Arabidopsis thaliana: one gene and its partner. The protein of the gene in region 1 interacts with the protein of each later gene in a pairwise test. Each region holds a gene or a part of one and is shown on either strand. Other genes may lie near its edges.

Evidence for each region.
Region 2: the proteins of AT4G32440 (region 1) and RTL1 interact in a two-hybrid assay, tested with the Arabidopsis thaliana proteins (one large-scale study listed by BioGRID).

What each region holds. Positions count from the first base shown.
Region 1 is NC_003075.7:15,653,902-15,662,454, forward strand, and holds AT4G32440 (Plant Tudor-like RNA-binding protein), read left to right. Parts: upstream 1-2,783; 5' UTR 2,784-2,912; intron 2,913-3,366; 5' UTR 3,367-3,393; coding exon 3,394-3,792; intron 3,793-4,056; coding exon 4,057-4,746; coding exon of another isoform or gene 4,747-4,791; exon of another isoform or gene 4,792-5,198; intron 5,199-5,360; coding exon 5,361-5,453; 3' UTR 5,454-6,322; downstream 6,323-8,553. Other genes in the region: AT4G32430 (Pentatricopeptide repeat (PPR) superfamily protein), read left to right, coding at 1-1,372; MEF8S (Pentatricopeptide repeat (PPR) superfamily protein), read left to right, coding at 7,191-8,553.
Region 2 is NC_003070.9:30,311,707-30,318,141, forward strand, and holds RTL1 (RNAse THREE-like protein 1), read left to right. Parts: upstream 1-2,815; 5' UTR 2,816-2,902; coding exon 2,903-3,007; intron 3,008-3,191; coding exon 3,192-3,399; intron 3,400-3,527; coding exon 3,528-3,651; coding exon of another isoform or gene 3,652-3,655; exon of another isoform or gene 3,656-3,734; coding exon 3,735-3,894; 3' UTR 3,895-4,296; downstream 4,297-6,435. Other genes in the region: AT1G80640 (Protein kinase superfamily protein), read left to right, coding at 273-435, 675-845, 926-1,167, 1,263-1,395, 1,473-1,536, 1,639-1,735, 1,840-1,921, 2,012-2,127 and 2 more; HA9 (H[+]-ATPase 9), read right to left, coding at 4,521-4,617, 4,703-4,884, 4,966-5,148, 5,223-5,396, 5,474-5,988, 6,066-6,375.

The DNA of each region.
Region 1 (8,553 bases):
TGAATCACTTTTAGAAGTTGGTAATATTTTGATGTCAAGGTACTCCAAGTGTGGGGTTTTGGAAGCTGTGAAATCAGTGTTTCACCAAATGAGTGAGCGGAATGTTGTCTCTTGGACAACAATGATTTCCTCGAATAAAGACGATGCTGTGTCCATCTTCCTTAATATGCGGTTTGATGGAGTTTACCCTAACGAGGTCACTTTTGTTGGATTAATCAATGCCGTGAAGTGCAATGAGCAAATCAAAGAAGGGCTTAAAATTCATGGGCTATGCATCAAGACAGGCTTTGTTTCAGAACCATCTGTAGGCAACAGTTTCATCACATTGTATGCCAAGTTTGAGGCTCTGGAAGATGCCAAGAAGGCTTTTGAGGATATAACTTTCCGGGAGATTATATCCTGGAATGCTATGATATCTGGATTTGCACAAAATGGATTCTCTCATGAAGCTCTCAAGATGTTCTTATCCGCAGCAGCAGAAACAATGCCGAATGAATACACTTTCGGAAGTGTCTTGAATGCAATAGCTTTTGCAGAGGATATATCTGTAAAGCAAGGTCAGCGTTGCCATGCTCATTTACTGAAATTGGGTTTGAATAGTTGTCCTGTTGTTTCAAGCGCGCTTCTTGATATGTACGCCAAGCGTGGGAACATTGATGAATCTGAGAAAGTCTTTAACGAGATGTCTCAAAAGAACCAATTTGTTTGGACATCGATAATATCAGCCTATTCAAGCCACGGTGATTTTGAAACCGTGATGAACTTGTTCCACAAGATGATTAAAGAAAACGTAGCACCAGACCTAGTCACTTTTCTCTCTGTGTTAACAGCTTGTAATAGAAAAGGAATGGTAGACAAGGGCTATGAGATTTTCAACATGATGATCGAAGTCTACAATCTTGAGCCGTCTCATGAGCATTACTCATGTATGGTTGATATGCTTGGCCGAGCTGGGAGATTGAAAGAAGCAGAAGAGCTTATGAGTGAGGTTCCTGGAGGACCAGGAGAGTCGATGCTTCAGAGCATGCTCGGGTCTTGTAGGCTGCACGGGAATGTGAAAATGGGAGCAAAAGTGGCTGAGCTTGCAATGGAAATGAAACCGGAACTGTCAGGTTCTTACGTTCAGATGTATAACATCTATGCAGAGAAAGAAGAGTGGGATAAAGCTGCAGAGATCAGGAAAGCAATGAGGAAGAAAAACGTAAGTAAAGAAGCTGGATTCAGTTGGATCGATGTTGGTGACACTGAAGGGTCTTTAACGATGCAAGGTTTCTCTTCAGGGGATAAGTCTCATCCAAAATCTGATGAGATTTATAGAATGGTGGAAATTATTGGATTGGAGATGAATTTGGAGGGGAAAGTTGCAGTTTAGGACTCTTACTCAAAGTTCTAAAGAGTTGTAGTTATAGATCAAAAATTAGAAATGTTAGCTATAGATTTACATGAACTCACTGAGTGTATGATTACTTTTATTTTTGCACCTACATACGTGCACATTGATTTTGTAAGGACCATGGTAAACCGGTAAAGCATGGTTCTCTGATTTTGACCTTATTGACCGGTTCGATTGATTAATCCAACGCTACGATCAAAATAGACGACTCTAACTTTTCTAGGTCAACCGTAAAATATATATACTTTAATTTCTACAAATAGTATCTTGAAACTATTAAACTATTTATTAGGTTCGAATTTGGTTGGTATTATTCCCAATCCAAAGGCTAAAATCAAAAAAAAAAAAAAAAGTCAAAATAACAATGGATTTTAACTACAAAAAGTTTCAAGTTTATGGGCCATTTCAAGTTTGAAACTTTTGTTGTTTTTTCTATCTAACGAACTCAAAAAGAGAATATGATGGCTTTAAGGTATGAGTTTGGTGTTGTACTCTTACTCACGTCTCTTTACATTTATCATTGTATAACAAAATAAGATTTTAATAGTAACTTTGAAATGATTCTTAAGCAACTTAAAAAGCGAGAGAAGAGAATGTTTACGTCGTCGATAACCTCATAATGCGGATTATTCTTCCTAACACGTTACCCTCTACGTACCCCACTTGATAAGCCAGTTTACACTTTCCCTTCCAATTTACTTTTTCTAATAAAATACTTTTGTCTTCCGTCGTCAAACAAACAAATGTATGACTTAATAAGTTCTATCAAAATGAACGTTCATATACTCAGCTGATTATAATTGACGCAACTTAAAAAAAACAGAATGAAGACTCATATATTGTAACATGGCTTGTATCAACTATAAATAATATTTGTCTAGAATAAAGACTCCGATGGTGGTTGAAACTTCAAACTAAACCACCCAGGACACAGCTTAACGTATCATTATAAATTAAAGATAGGATAGTACCATACTAGTTAGTAATTTGACTATTTATTAACTACACAAATTTTTAACAGATTTAGAACTTGAGTGTTATACATATTGAAAGTACCTGTAACTTGATTTTATCAAATCAGATTTTAAGTACTTATTAAAGGCTGAAGCATATGAAAATATAAATCAATTTATATATGACTTGTTGAAGCTTTTAAATTAAGGAGCGTATCAAAAAACTTAAAACACACAATTAACGCGCGTGTCCACGCTCTAAGCAAAGCGAGTGAAACATATTAATTTACACAATCGAACCGTCATTAATGTTATGGGTTGTCTCCTATTTCTGGTTTAAAAGAGATATTAACTTAAATCCCACGTCACCAAATATTAAAAATAAAATAAAAATAAACAAATTATATAAATTTCTTAACGCACAATTTGTTGTTTTCCATAATTCCATTTACCCGAAACCCTAATCCCCAATTTCTCTTTCAAGTTTTCGATCACGATCTCTGGAAAATTAAGAGAGAAATTCAAAAACTTCGGGAGTTCAAAGTCTCATTCAGACATTCCAGAAGGTGATCTCTTGTTTCAGTTTTTCTCCCTTTTTGTTGATTGTTTCAATATTGGTGTTTTATCCTTCGATCTCTATGAAAGTTGTTTCAATTGGATCGAGATTCTTCGCTGTTTATTGATTTTACGATACCCTTTTCAATCGTTTGGAAGTTTTTTTGGTTTGTCCTAATTCGAATTATTCTTGCTGTCTGAAGAATCTGTTTGGAAGTAAATTTGGATTAATCTTGCTTAGCTTGTATCTCCTGTGATTGATCGCGATTACGTTGGTTCTTCTTTCTGTTTACGCATAATTTTACTGATTCATCTAAATTTTGTTGCGGCTTTCTTATGATCTGTGTTCCAGAGTTTGTGGATTATTACATCAAACTATATGTTTTTAGAGTTGTTTGTTTTATTAAGAATGTATGATCTTCTGCTTTGGATGTTTGCTCACATATGGATATTTCTCTTTTGCAGGTATTCTAGTCGACTGAGTAAACAATCATGAGAATCAGAAAAGGAAGTAGAGTTGAGGTATTTAGCAACAAAGAGGCGCCTTATGGTGCGTGGCGATGTGCTGAGATTGTCTCGGGTAATGGACATACCTACAATGTTAGATTTTACTCTTTCCAAATTGAACACGAGGAGGCAGTTATGGAGAAAGTTCCAAGGAAGATAATTAGGCCTTGTCCTCCACTTGTGGATGTTGAGAGATGGGATACTGGTGAATTGGTGGAAGTTCTTGATAATTTTTCCTGGAAAGCTGCCACAGTTCGAGAGGAGTTATCTGGACATTACTATGTGGTTCGCTTACTTGGGACTCCAGAAGAACTCACATTTCACAAAGTTAACCTCAGGGCCCGAAAGTCGTGGCAAGATGAGAGATGGGTTGCAATTGGAAAGGTAATTTATTTTCATCCTATATGTTATGCTCTCACTTTTTACATCTAATATACTCTTGTTAATGTCTTTTTTTCTTTTCTTTTCTCCATTAAGATTTCCGGCTTAGTCATGATGTCCCCTCTTCCATTTCTAAGAAGTTCTGGGTCTGGTTGGGGGTGGCAATCTGCATTGTCTTGCTACGATATTGTTTGTTTGAAATGATTTTTTAACTAATGTGCTGATGAGCTTACATGTTGACTAACTGGCTTGTAATCATTTTCTCAGATATCTGGTTCTCTGAAGTCATCCACACTGACTGGATCAGACGTACATCAGAAGCTACAGCCCCACAGGAACAGCATGCCTCTCCACGAGCCTAGCGTGGTCTCTGCTAGATTGTTAAAGAGGCCGTCACCTTACAACTGGTCTGAATGTGCTGAATCATGTACAGGAAACCCTAAGAAGATGCGTTCATTGGAAAAAGAAGGACAGCAGCAAAAGGTAGATGCCATTTCTTGCCGACCAGAAAACAGGGGTGGTAAATCTCACGTGCAAGCTTCCTTAAACAATCACAAAACTGGTTACTGTCAAATTGTCAGGGTAAGATCAAAAGGGTTTAGTGAGAGTGTTCGTGCTGATGATTGTTCTGATAGCGATGTATGCTCAGTTGGTAGTTGTAGTGCTACTAGTTATGATGAGAGTAACATGCCACCTTGTATGCTAGATGGCTCTACTCAACAGGCAGACTCATGTAGCAGCGATGCTGAATCTTCTTGTGGCCTGGGGGAAGAACCAAGGTGGAAACATTCATCAGTTGGTGATGGAGCAAGAAATTCTTGTAGGTCGGAACTATATTCTTACCGCAGTACTCTGGGGGAATTATTTTCTTCTGGTCCCCTAAGTTGGGAGCAAGAAGCATCATTAACTGATCTTCGTCTTTCTCTTAATATATCAGATGATGAACATTTGATGGAGGTAAGAAATTTGATATCTACTGGTACCCGCAGTCAATTTTGTTAGTATCAATCAGAATTCAAATTTTTCTTTTTGATTTCTATGGTCAAGTCTGATCTACCTGTCTTGGATATACTTTCCTGAAATGTGGAATCAACTGTCATATATTGTTCTTTTTCCAGTGGATTTTATAAGTGTATAGACAGCAGATACAAGTATGTATGGAAATTCTGATTAGAATGAAAGTTTCCGAGGTTCTTTTCTATTGCTTTATCAGATTTCCCTTAGATTCCTTTATTGTAATTCCTGGAGGATGTTAAAGCAAAATTCATGTATCGATACTCTGAGATGTCATATTTTGAAGGGCTGTCTTCTGTTCATTAAATCTGTAATATCAATTTTATAGCACGATTTTCTGTTCCTCGTTTCGTGTTAACTTTCCACACTTGTGTGTTGATATACTTGATAACAAGATGGGTCAATCGTATTTTCCTATGTGGATTTTACTTCAGTGCAATATGAAGTCTGAATGTCTCATCTATTGAGTGCTCCTTCCTGTAGCTCTATGAAATGTGTTAGTGTGAGTTTCCTAGTCATTCCTCTGAACAATATTGATTTCCCCCTGCATTTTTCAGGAACAATGTTGCCTTATCCGGGCATGCAGACCTTTTGCTTCTAGAGGTCTAACTCTGATGCTGGGGTTTACACCTTCTCCCTTGACCATCTGAGTGGTGCAATACCATACCTGTTCTCCCTCAAAACATAACTGACTTCTATGCCATTTTTATTTTGTCGCTATCTTGATATTGCGGCTTGTTTCAGGGGCTTCTTTCAGGTGTCCTGGAGTCTACTTTGTCCACAGGGACTGAATGCTGTGGTTTGAGCAGGCTTCCTTATTTGCAGTCTGGTTGGATAATTTTGCTGACATCATGTCAAGTTCTGAGTAATATTTCTTTACACTTTTTCGTTCACTCGATATATGTTGCGGTGCTATCTTTTGTGGTGTTGTGTCTCCTCTGGTTGCTTTCTTAGAAGTGCATGATGTAGATGCTACCATATTTTTACTATTACTAGCTCTCTAAGCCTAATACGTTTAGATGTAGAACACAACGTTGTTTCAGTTACATTGGTTCTATTTTCGGTGTTTTTTCCAGACGCATAGCCTATTGATGCTTATTCTTTCTGGAAATAAGTGTTGTGGCCTACTGAGAGGTAAGTGTGCAATGGCATGAATGGGGTTAATGTAATAGATGCTCATCCAGAAAATGTGTTTGTGATCGGTGTTGATTCGTTATTCTGATTTGTTCTCATGACTTACTTTCATGGAAAATTATCGAGATGAACGGGAACACATGCCTGCTTTCTTACTTAGTTTGTCGCATGTGCATTGTGATCGGAGATTGTCCAAGCTCACTCTTCAGATGTCTCCAGCAAAGGTAGGTTGTTTGCATGGCAGTATGAAACTCTGAAGCAGAATCCATTAATTTTCACAAAGGTATGGATCCTTTTGAAAGATGTGTCGTGGTTCTTCAAAGTTTAACATGTTTTTCTTGAGTAGTTTGCTTGCTTATAGAATCAAAACGAGTTTCGTATCTTCAACCAGACTTTCTTTGGCAATTAGTTACTACTGCTACTTATGCAATGCAACCTCTGGCAATATTGATTGATTTGCGTTATGTTTTAATGGTTATGAAAACTGACTCTTCGATATAAGAACTTGTGAAGTAAAAACTCTATGTGATGAAATTATGAATGCTGAGGATGTTGTTATTACGAGCAATGAGATGTCTTTTTTTAAAAAAAAAAATTTGGTTGCTTGCTTGCAAGAGGACATCTTAGCATCAAATTTGAAACCGAAAGCTGACTCAATTCTGGTAACTACTGGCAGTAACAAGAAAACAAGTCATGAACCTGCAATTTCATTCTAATTCTACACAAGATGCAAATCTCAACTTAAATTCACTTTTAAAACTTGTTATTATTGTAAATTTTTTGAATAATACAGTTGGAAGTAAAAATCCACCGTACCAGTGTACCGGTAACGTGGAAGTATAAACCAATTCGCCAATCTCTTTCTTCCTATCACAATTTAAAGACAGCGACAAAATTAGACGGTTAGAATGCTGAGTTATACCGGGTTATTAAGATAACCTTTGTTTTCGTTAACCGAACAAACGCGACTGAGTTTCACTGGGAAAAAAAAAAAAAGAAGAAGCTTCTTTAGCTTTTGTGACGAATAGGAGGGAACTGAGTTTTAGGTTCGTCTTGATACGGCTTACTCTGTGAATCGAGAAGAAATTGAATTCGTTTTTTTCGTCTTTCTCTGCAAATTAACCCATTTGACTGTTTGTAGTTTCTTTCGCAGATTTATAAAGTTGGTCTTCTTCTCTTCTAATCGGATCGATTCTGCTTCCGGTTAACCGGTTTTGTTCCCCGGCGACAATCAGCAATCTCCTCCCCGGCCAATGATATACACGTTGACGAGAGGTTCGCTTCTCGGCTCTACCTGTAAGCTACGCTACTCTTCTTTATTTTCTTATCTGAGCACAGCTGCGCTGAGATTGGGTTTTGAAAACCCTACTAATGGAAATCCGATGGATAATTCTTCGCATCACATTGGTTATGTAAATGGGTTTAACGGTGGAGAACAATCGCTTGGTGGGTTTCAGCAGAATTCATATGAGCAGAGCTTAAACCCTGTTTCTGGGCAGAATCCGACGAATAGGTTTTATCAAAACGGATACAATCGGAATCAGAGTTATGGGGAACATAGTGAAATTATTAATCAGAGAAATCAAAATTGGCAAAGTAGTGATGGTTGTTCCTCGTATGGAACTACTGGAAATGGAGTTCCACAAGAGAATAATACTGGTGGGAATCATTTTCAGCAAGATCATAGTGGTCATAGCTCGTTGGACGAATTGGATTCGATTTGCAGAGAAGGGAAGGTTAAAAAAGCTGTTGAAATTATTAAATCATGGAGAAATGAGGGTTATGTTGTGGATTTACCTAGACTGTTTTGGATAGCACAGCTTTGTGGAGATGCACAAGCTTTACAAGAAGCCAAAGTTGTTCATGAGTTTATTACTTCTTCGGTTGGGATTTCAGATATCAGCGCTTACAACTCGATAATCGAAATGTACTCTGGTTGTGGTTCTGTGGAAGATGCATTAACCGTTTTCAATAGTATGCCTGAGAGAAACTTGGAGACTTGGTGTGGTGTTATAAGGTGTTTTGCAAAGAATGGGCAAGGGGAAGACGCCATTGATACGTTCTCTCGGTTTAAACAAGAAGGAAACAAACCTGATGGTGAAATGTTTAAAGAGATCTTCTTTGCGTGTGGTGTTCTTGGTGACATGAACGAGGGACTGTTGCACTTTGAGTCCATGTACAAAGAGTATGGAATTATCCCTTGTATGGAACATTACGTGAGCCTCGTTAAAATGTTGGCGGAGCCTGGTTATTTAGATGAAGCCTTGAGATTTGTTGAATCGATGGAACCAAATGTAGATTTGTGGGAAACCCTGATGAATCTATCACGGGTTCATGGGGATTTAATTCTTGGCGACCGGTGTCAAGATATGGTTGAGCAGCTTGATGCAAGTAGACTGAACAAAGAGTCAAAGGCGGGTCTTGTACCTGTGAAATCATCAGACCTAGTAAAAGAGAAATTACAAAGAATGGCCAAAGGGCCAAATTATGGGATTCGATATATGGCAGCTGGAGATATTTCTCGTCCAGAAAACAGAGAGTTGTATATGGCATTGAAGAGTTTAAAGGAGCATATGATAGAAATTGGTTATGTACCTCTATCTAAACTTGCATTGC
Region 2 (6,435 bases), on another chromosome or scaffold:
TGCTGCTTTATTAGCCTTTTTGTCCACCTTTTCATAACTGCCACATGAAGACCAAACACCTAAAACCTTTGTCCTTCTCTCTCTCTGTTTCCCAACTCCAACAGTGTCTCTTGTCTACATCTCCTCCAGACAAAGATAATCTCTAGCATTTTTCACCATCTCCATAAAAGAATTAGATAGAACACGAAGCAGCTTCGTACTCTTTATCTCTCTCTCTCTCTCTTTTTGTCTTTTCTCTGCATATTTGTTGATACCAGACAACAAAATTAAATATGTGTCTCCTTCGTCATTTGCTACCCATTTGGGTTCTTCTTGGTTTCTTCTTCTTCTCCACTGCTACTAAATCACAAGAATCTTCCGTTGTCTACGTTTCTGGTGCTTCCCCCGAAATCCCCATTTCTCAGGCTTCTCCACGAATGGGAGCTCAATCCCCAGGTACTTATTAGTTTCCCCTTTCCAAATTTTCTCCATGTTGCCCCTAAGAACAAAAATATCAATATTTGGTGATTGGGTCTTACTAGTTCTTGAAATTGTCGAAATGTGTTTGCTCATACTTTCATAAAGGAATTGAATTTAGTTGAATTGATACTGTTTCCCAATTAAAACTGAAAACTTTCCGATAATTAAGCAAATAAATTGAATTTTATCCCTTATTTAAATTTAACTTTGCTCAGGACCTCCCATTGTTAAAGTGGTGCTTCGCCAGGACTTGAACAAGAAGATTCTAATTGCTCTTATAGTCTCATCATCTCTGCTCTGTGTCACAGTCATGTTCCTTGTGTATCTCTTGCTATGGAGGTACAGGAATATGAAGAACAGCTTCACCGGTATCAAACGCAAATCCGGTATTCAATTCTATCTCTTTATATTTTTGTAATTTCCTTGGTTTTGTTATGGCTTATTTTGGTGCTTTGGTTATCTGAAGATTCGGTGAAGAGTGTAACCACGAAACCGACTGTACACAAGATTGATTCTGTGAGGAAAGGAACCATCCCTGTGTATGAATATCAATTGCTGGAATCTGCAACAAACAAGTTTAGTGATAGTAATGTGTTGAGCCGAGGTGGTCGTGGATGCCTTTACAGAGCTTGTCTCGATGAAAAATCCTCAGTCACTGTGAAGAAACTTGATGGCGGTGGGGAGACAGACATTGAAAAACAGTTTGAGGTTTGACCCCTAAGATGATTATACAGAATCGCACCATCTCATTCGATAAACCATAACTCGGTTTTTTGCTTTCTCTTGTTGATTTTCTAATGCAGACTGAAGTAGATTGGTTGGCTAAGATCAGGCATCAGAACATAGTTTCCTTATTGGGGTTTTGCGTATATCGGCAAACGAGTTGTATTGTGTATGAGTTGATGCAGAATGGATCTTTGGAGAGTCAGTTACATGGTAAGGGGATATGATCCATGTTTGTTCCATCTTTTGTCATCTGATTTTGATTTTGTTGTGCTTTTGAATGCTCTAAGGGCCTAGTCAAGGTTCAGGTTTAACTTGGCAGCTCAGGATGAAGATAGCGGTTGATATAGCGAGGTAAAGTCCATTCATTGATAATACTTTCAAACATTTAGTAGTTCCATGTGATCTCCAAGAACATATATTTGTATGCTTACAAAGTATTCTTTTTTCATAAAGAGGATTAGAGTATCTTCACGAGCATTGCCATCCTCCTGTAGTTCACAGAGATTTGAAATCATCTAGCATCCTTCTGGACTCCGATTTCAATGCAAAGGTAAAAGAGAAAATGATATAATGTAGAAAATTCTTCTTAGACTTATTGTATTCTCCATACAATATGAGTCTTAAGGATCTGTTGCCACATTTGCTTCTCTTTAGATATCCGATTTTGGGTTTGCCACGGTTTTGACCACGCAGAATAAAAACCTGATACACAAGGCTTCTGAGGATCTTCTTGATGGTAAGGAGTTAATCTTTTTTCGGGGTTCGATCTTGACATATATGCCAAACGAGATGCTCAAATTTCGACCATTCTGTAATCATCTTTCAGGGAAAGTTACAGACAAGAATGATGTCTACTCATTTGGAGTGATCCTGCTCGAACTTCTCCTCGGGAAGAAATCAGTGGAGAAACCGTCTTCTGAACCAGAATCCATCGTTACTTGGGTACATAATAAAACTTTCACGAGATAGTGGCTTCGTTTAGCAGGAAATCCTCTGACTTGTGATCTTTGTTGATCATCAGGCAGTACCTAAGCTGAGTGATAGAGCTAATCTACCAAACATATTGGATCCTGCAATCAAAGGAACCATGGATTTGAAGCATCTATATCAGGTAAAAAAGCTTCAACAAAATCTCACACAGATTTTACGAAAAACACATTAGCCAAATATAGAAGGAAAAAGATTCCTCTTTGAACTTTGTGTTATATTTTCTTTGGACAGGTAGCTGCGGTGGCGGTGTTGTGTGTACAGCCGGAGCCAAGTTACAGACCACTTATAACCGATGTCTTGCACTCACTCATCCCTCTTCTACCAGTAGAACTCGGTGGATCATTGCGGATTTTATAAAAAAACATTTCCCCTTTCTTTTTTTTTTTCTTGTAACAGATCAATGCGTTTATGAATTTGTCTCTTATGTTGGTTCTTCCGGAGAATTTATTGTTGTATGTTTAATCACTGCTACAAAAAATTCGGAAGTTTTGCTTAAATGGAACCGAGAGACAAGTTAGTAGAGTTTGGTTAGTAAAAGTTAAAGGTTTAAAAGCTTTAACATATAAATAAATAAAAACGTTGACTTTTTATAACAGAGTTTGTTGTTGTGGGGAAATGAATTAATTAATGAACCTTATCCGTTTTGTCGATGATCGATAAAATTTTCAATTTCTCGATTCCCAAAGAAAGATATCTGGGAATTAGACAAGGAGTAGTAATATGAAAGATGGAGGATCAGGAAACGAAGCGGATAACCAAAAAACCGTCAAGATCGATCATCATCAGTCTCAAAGATATTCCTCCTCTCGACCCTTCTTCTATTCCCTCTATGGTAAATATTCATTCACTCCAACCATATTCTCTTCTTTCTCGCTAACAAAAAAATTGATCATCTGGGTTTGAAACAGAGAACAATCTCTGCGTTTTCTATTTGTAGATGATTCTTCTTCTGTGATTTGGCTATATCATGGGTTAATAGTAATAAATATCTCAACTTTGCTTCTGTCAATTGTTAGAAACCAATGGCGCAAGATCATCATAATGTGGGAATGCAGAGATTCCAAGAGAAGACTGACTTCAAGTTTGAAGAAGAAGACAATGCCATTTCTTCCTTCTCTAACATTCAAATTGATCCTAACAGCACAAGAAGCATTTCACTAGAGAAGAAGCTTGCTCCTAAACCAGATGAAGAACACACCACCACCACCAAACCCATATCTAAAGGTTCATTCATTTTTTCTTCACCTCTTTTGCTAATTATGATGTAAACTTGTTCGGAAACCAACAGAGATTGCAATTTTTGGTATAGAAGATAGAATTTTGGTCATTTTGTTCTGAAATTTGTGTTCCAGATGATGAATCTAAGACTAGGAGAGGCTCAGCTAAATCGGTGTTACACGAAATGTGTGCTTCCAAGCGTTGGAGACCTCCTGTTTATGAATGCTGCAATGTTGATGGACCTTGCCATTTGAGATTGTAAGTAAACATCTTCTAACCTGCACTTGCTTTTATTTTTTGAGTCGCAATCTTTTTTGCATCAACTTGGTTTTTTGGTTCAGATTTACATACAAAGTTATGGTTGAGATTAGAGATTCTTCAGGGAAAACTGTTTTGGAGTGTTTTGGGGATCCCAGACGCAAAAAGAAAGCTGCTGCTGAGCATGCAGCAGAAGGAGCGCTTTGGTATCTTGAGCATGTGAAGACAAAGCCGCATCAGTAAATCATCATTTAGTCGATATGAAGTAGCTGGAGAGTTTAGTAAAGCCATCTATAGTTAGTTCTAACGAGGGAAGCTTGAACCATATTATACCTATCTTTTAATTCATTATAGCTCTATGGGTTGTAACAGTTTTGATCTGTATCAGAACTTTTCTTTCAAACTTTGTGCCATTATATTTCTCCTTAGTAAGGAGCCTTTATCTTTATCTTTATGTTTATGGAATAGAAGAGCTCAAGTCATCCAAGTTAGAGAAAGCTTTGGAGACTTTGTCTGGTTAGACTGAAGGAGGGAATTCAGTTCAGTGAGATTTGAAACACTGATTTTTCTCATTTGCAACTAAGATTTGAGCATTCTTTTTTTTTTTGGTTTTGTTGCATTCTCTCTTGCGCGGACAGAGACTAGAAGAAACTTACTCAAGAATTCTAAGTAATTGTAAGATCTTATTACTCTTGTAAAAAAGGAAAAAACAAGAATATCTCAAAAATATAAAAAAAGAAGAAGCCACATCCACTGCTAACAAAAGAAACAATTTTCTTTTTGCAGCATTCTCTAATTATGGAAGTGGTTATTTATTCAATACTCTTGTGGGGTTCTAAAACTAAACTGAGAAACACTTGTTTCTGAAATCACAGGGTATAGTGTTGCTGGATAGCCTCAATGTCTAGTCCCTTCTGCTTCACTACTGATTCCACGTGACCTTTCAAGGTGTGACGTTCCCTTAACCTGAAATTTACAAGACAAGAAATGTTTGTAAGCCCATTTTCTGAGGAACCTAATGGTATGGAATAATCAGTTACTTGAGCGTTGCCTTGCAACTTCAGCTCGTCTCTTGGCTTGATCAGCTATCTCTGAAAGCTCTCTGTAAGTGCTCTTGTCATTGAACATATCTGAGGTTTGAGCTGGCTGCAATCCGTGAAGTGTACGTTGCGCTTGTGCCCATTGTGCTTCTCTCTCTCCCTTTCCGTAGTCTTTCTTTGACGTGAAAGCGGTCTGAACAGAGGAACAAAGGTTAGGAAAAAGGATTATACTACTGTGTTCTTGTTCTCATCAGTATTGGCCTGAGAAGCAAACCTTGTTCTCAATGACATTATCCCATGCTCTTCCACTCAGTGAATATCTGATGATGAACTTGAGGATATCCAATGGGATGTAGAAGACTATACTATAGAGCCAGATAACTCCTGCCCATCCCCACCCAATACCTCTGATTCTTGCAAAATTCCAGTTTGCGTATACCGCAATCAAAGTAGCAATCTTGGAATGAAAACAACAACAGTGTCAGTATATACTGAAGCTTCTTATGTAAGAGTACTGAATCTTTAACTTACCAGCTGAGCCATGAAAAAGGCAGAGATCAACCAGAAGCCAGGACGTTCAACATATGACCAGCTTCGCGACCTTGTTACAAAGATAAGCGCTTGGCTCACGATACTAACTTGTAGGTAAACAGCTGCTGTTAGCTCATGCGGATTTCCACTGATAGATCTCACCCCAAACTTTGCCTGCACCAAGAGAAAACTGAAGATCAACACATACACTTACTCGAGCTGGTCATAAAAGTAAGATAGAACTCTCTTACAGAGAAGAAGTCAGTGCTCTCTGCAGCCCAGAAGAAAACTACAGTCATGACTGCTAGGTAAGTGCCAAGAACAACGCCGGTGGCAAATATCTCTTTGAGTTTCCATGAATCAGGAAGTGGAGAAGGCTTTACTCTGTCCTTTGATATCGTCATGATAGTACCATCATTCAGGATAGCAACGATCAAGACCATGAATGGTGAGAAGTCAAACTTCCATATGAGTGCAAGAAGCATAAATCCCATCACTATACGGATTGTGATTGAAACTGCATAGATTGTGTAGTTCTTCATTCTCTGGAAGATGGCTCTGCTCGTTAGGACAGCACTAACTATGACACTAAGCCCTGGCTCGGTTAGTACAATGTCAGATGCACTTCTTGCTGCATCAGTCGCATCAGCAACAGCTATTCCAATGTCAGCTCTCTTGAGAGCTGGGGCATCGTTCACTCCATCACCAGTCATGCCACAAATATGCTTCATCTCTTGAAGCCTCTTCACAATCTCATACTTGTGTTCTAATCAGACAGATGAAACAGAGTTAAATTTATGGAGTTGAACCACTTGTGAAGGTAGAAGATTTGATTGTTTTTACCAGGGAAGACGCCGGCGAAACCATCTGCCTTCTCTATGAGTTCATCAACAGGAAGGCTAGCTATAGATTCATCCTTATCTTGTCCAAGTAGAGCAGAAGATGGATACATGTTTGTGCCCATCCCAAGCCTACGACCAGTTTCCTTACCAATGGCAAGTTGGTCACCAGTGATCATCTTGACATTAACACCAAGATCAAGGGCACGCCTGATTGTCTCTGCACTGTCATGTCTTGGAGGGTCAAAGAGAGGTAACAGACCAAGAAACTGCCATGGTTCTCCAGGGCTGTTCTTGTCTTTCTCAGAGACAGTCTGAAATTCAAAAAATAGGAAAAAGAGCATTGATAAAAGAGAAAGAAACACAAATGAATC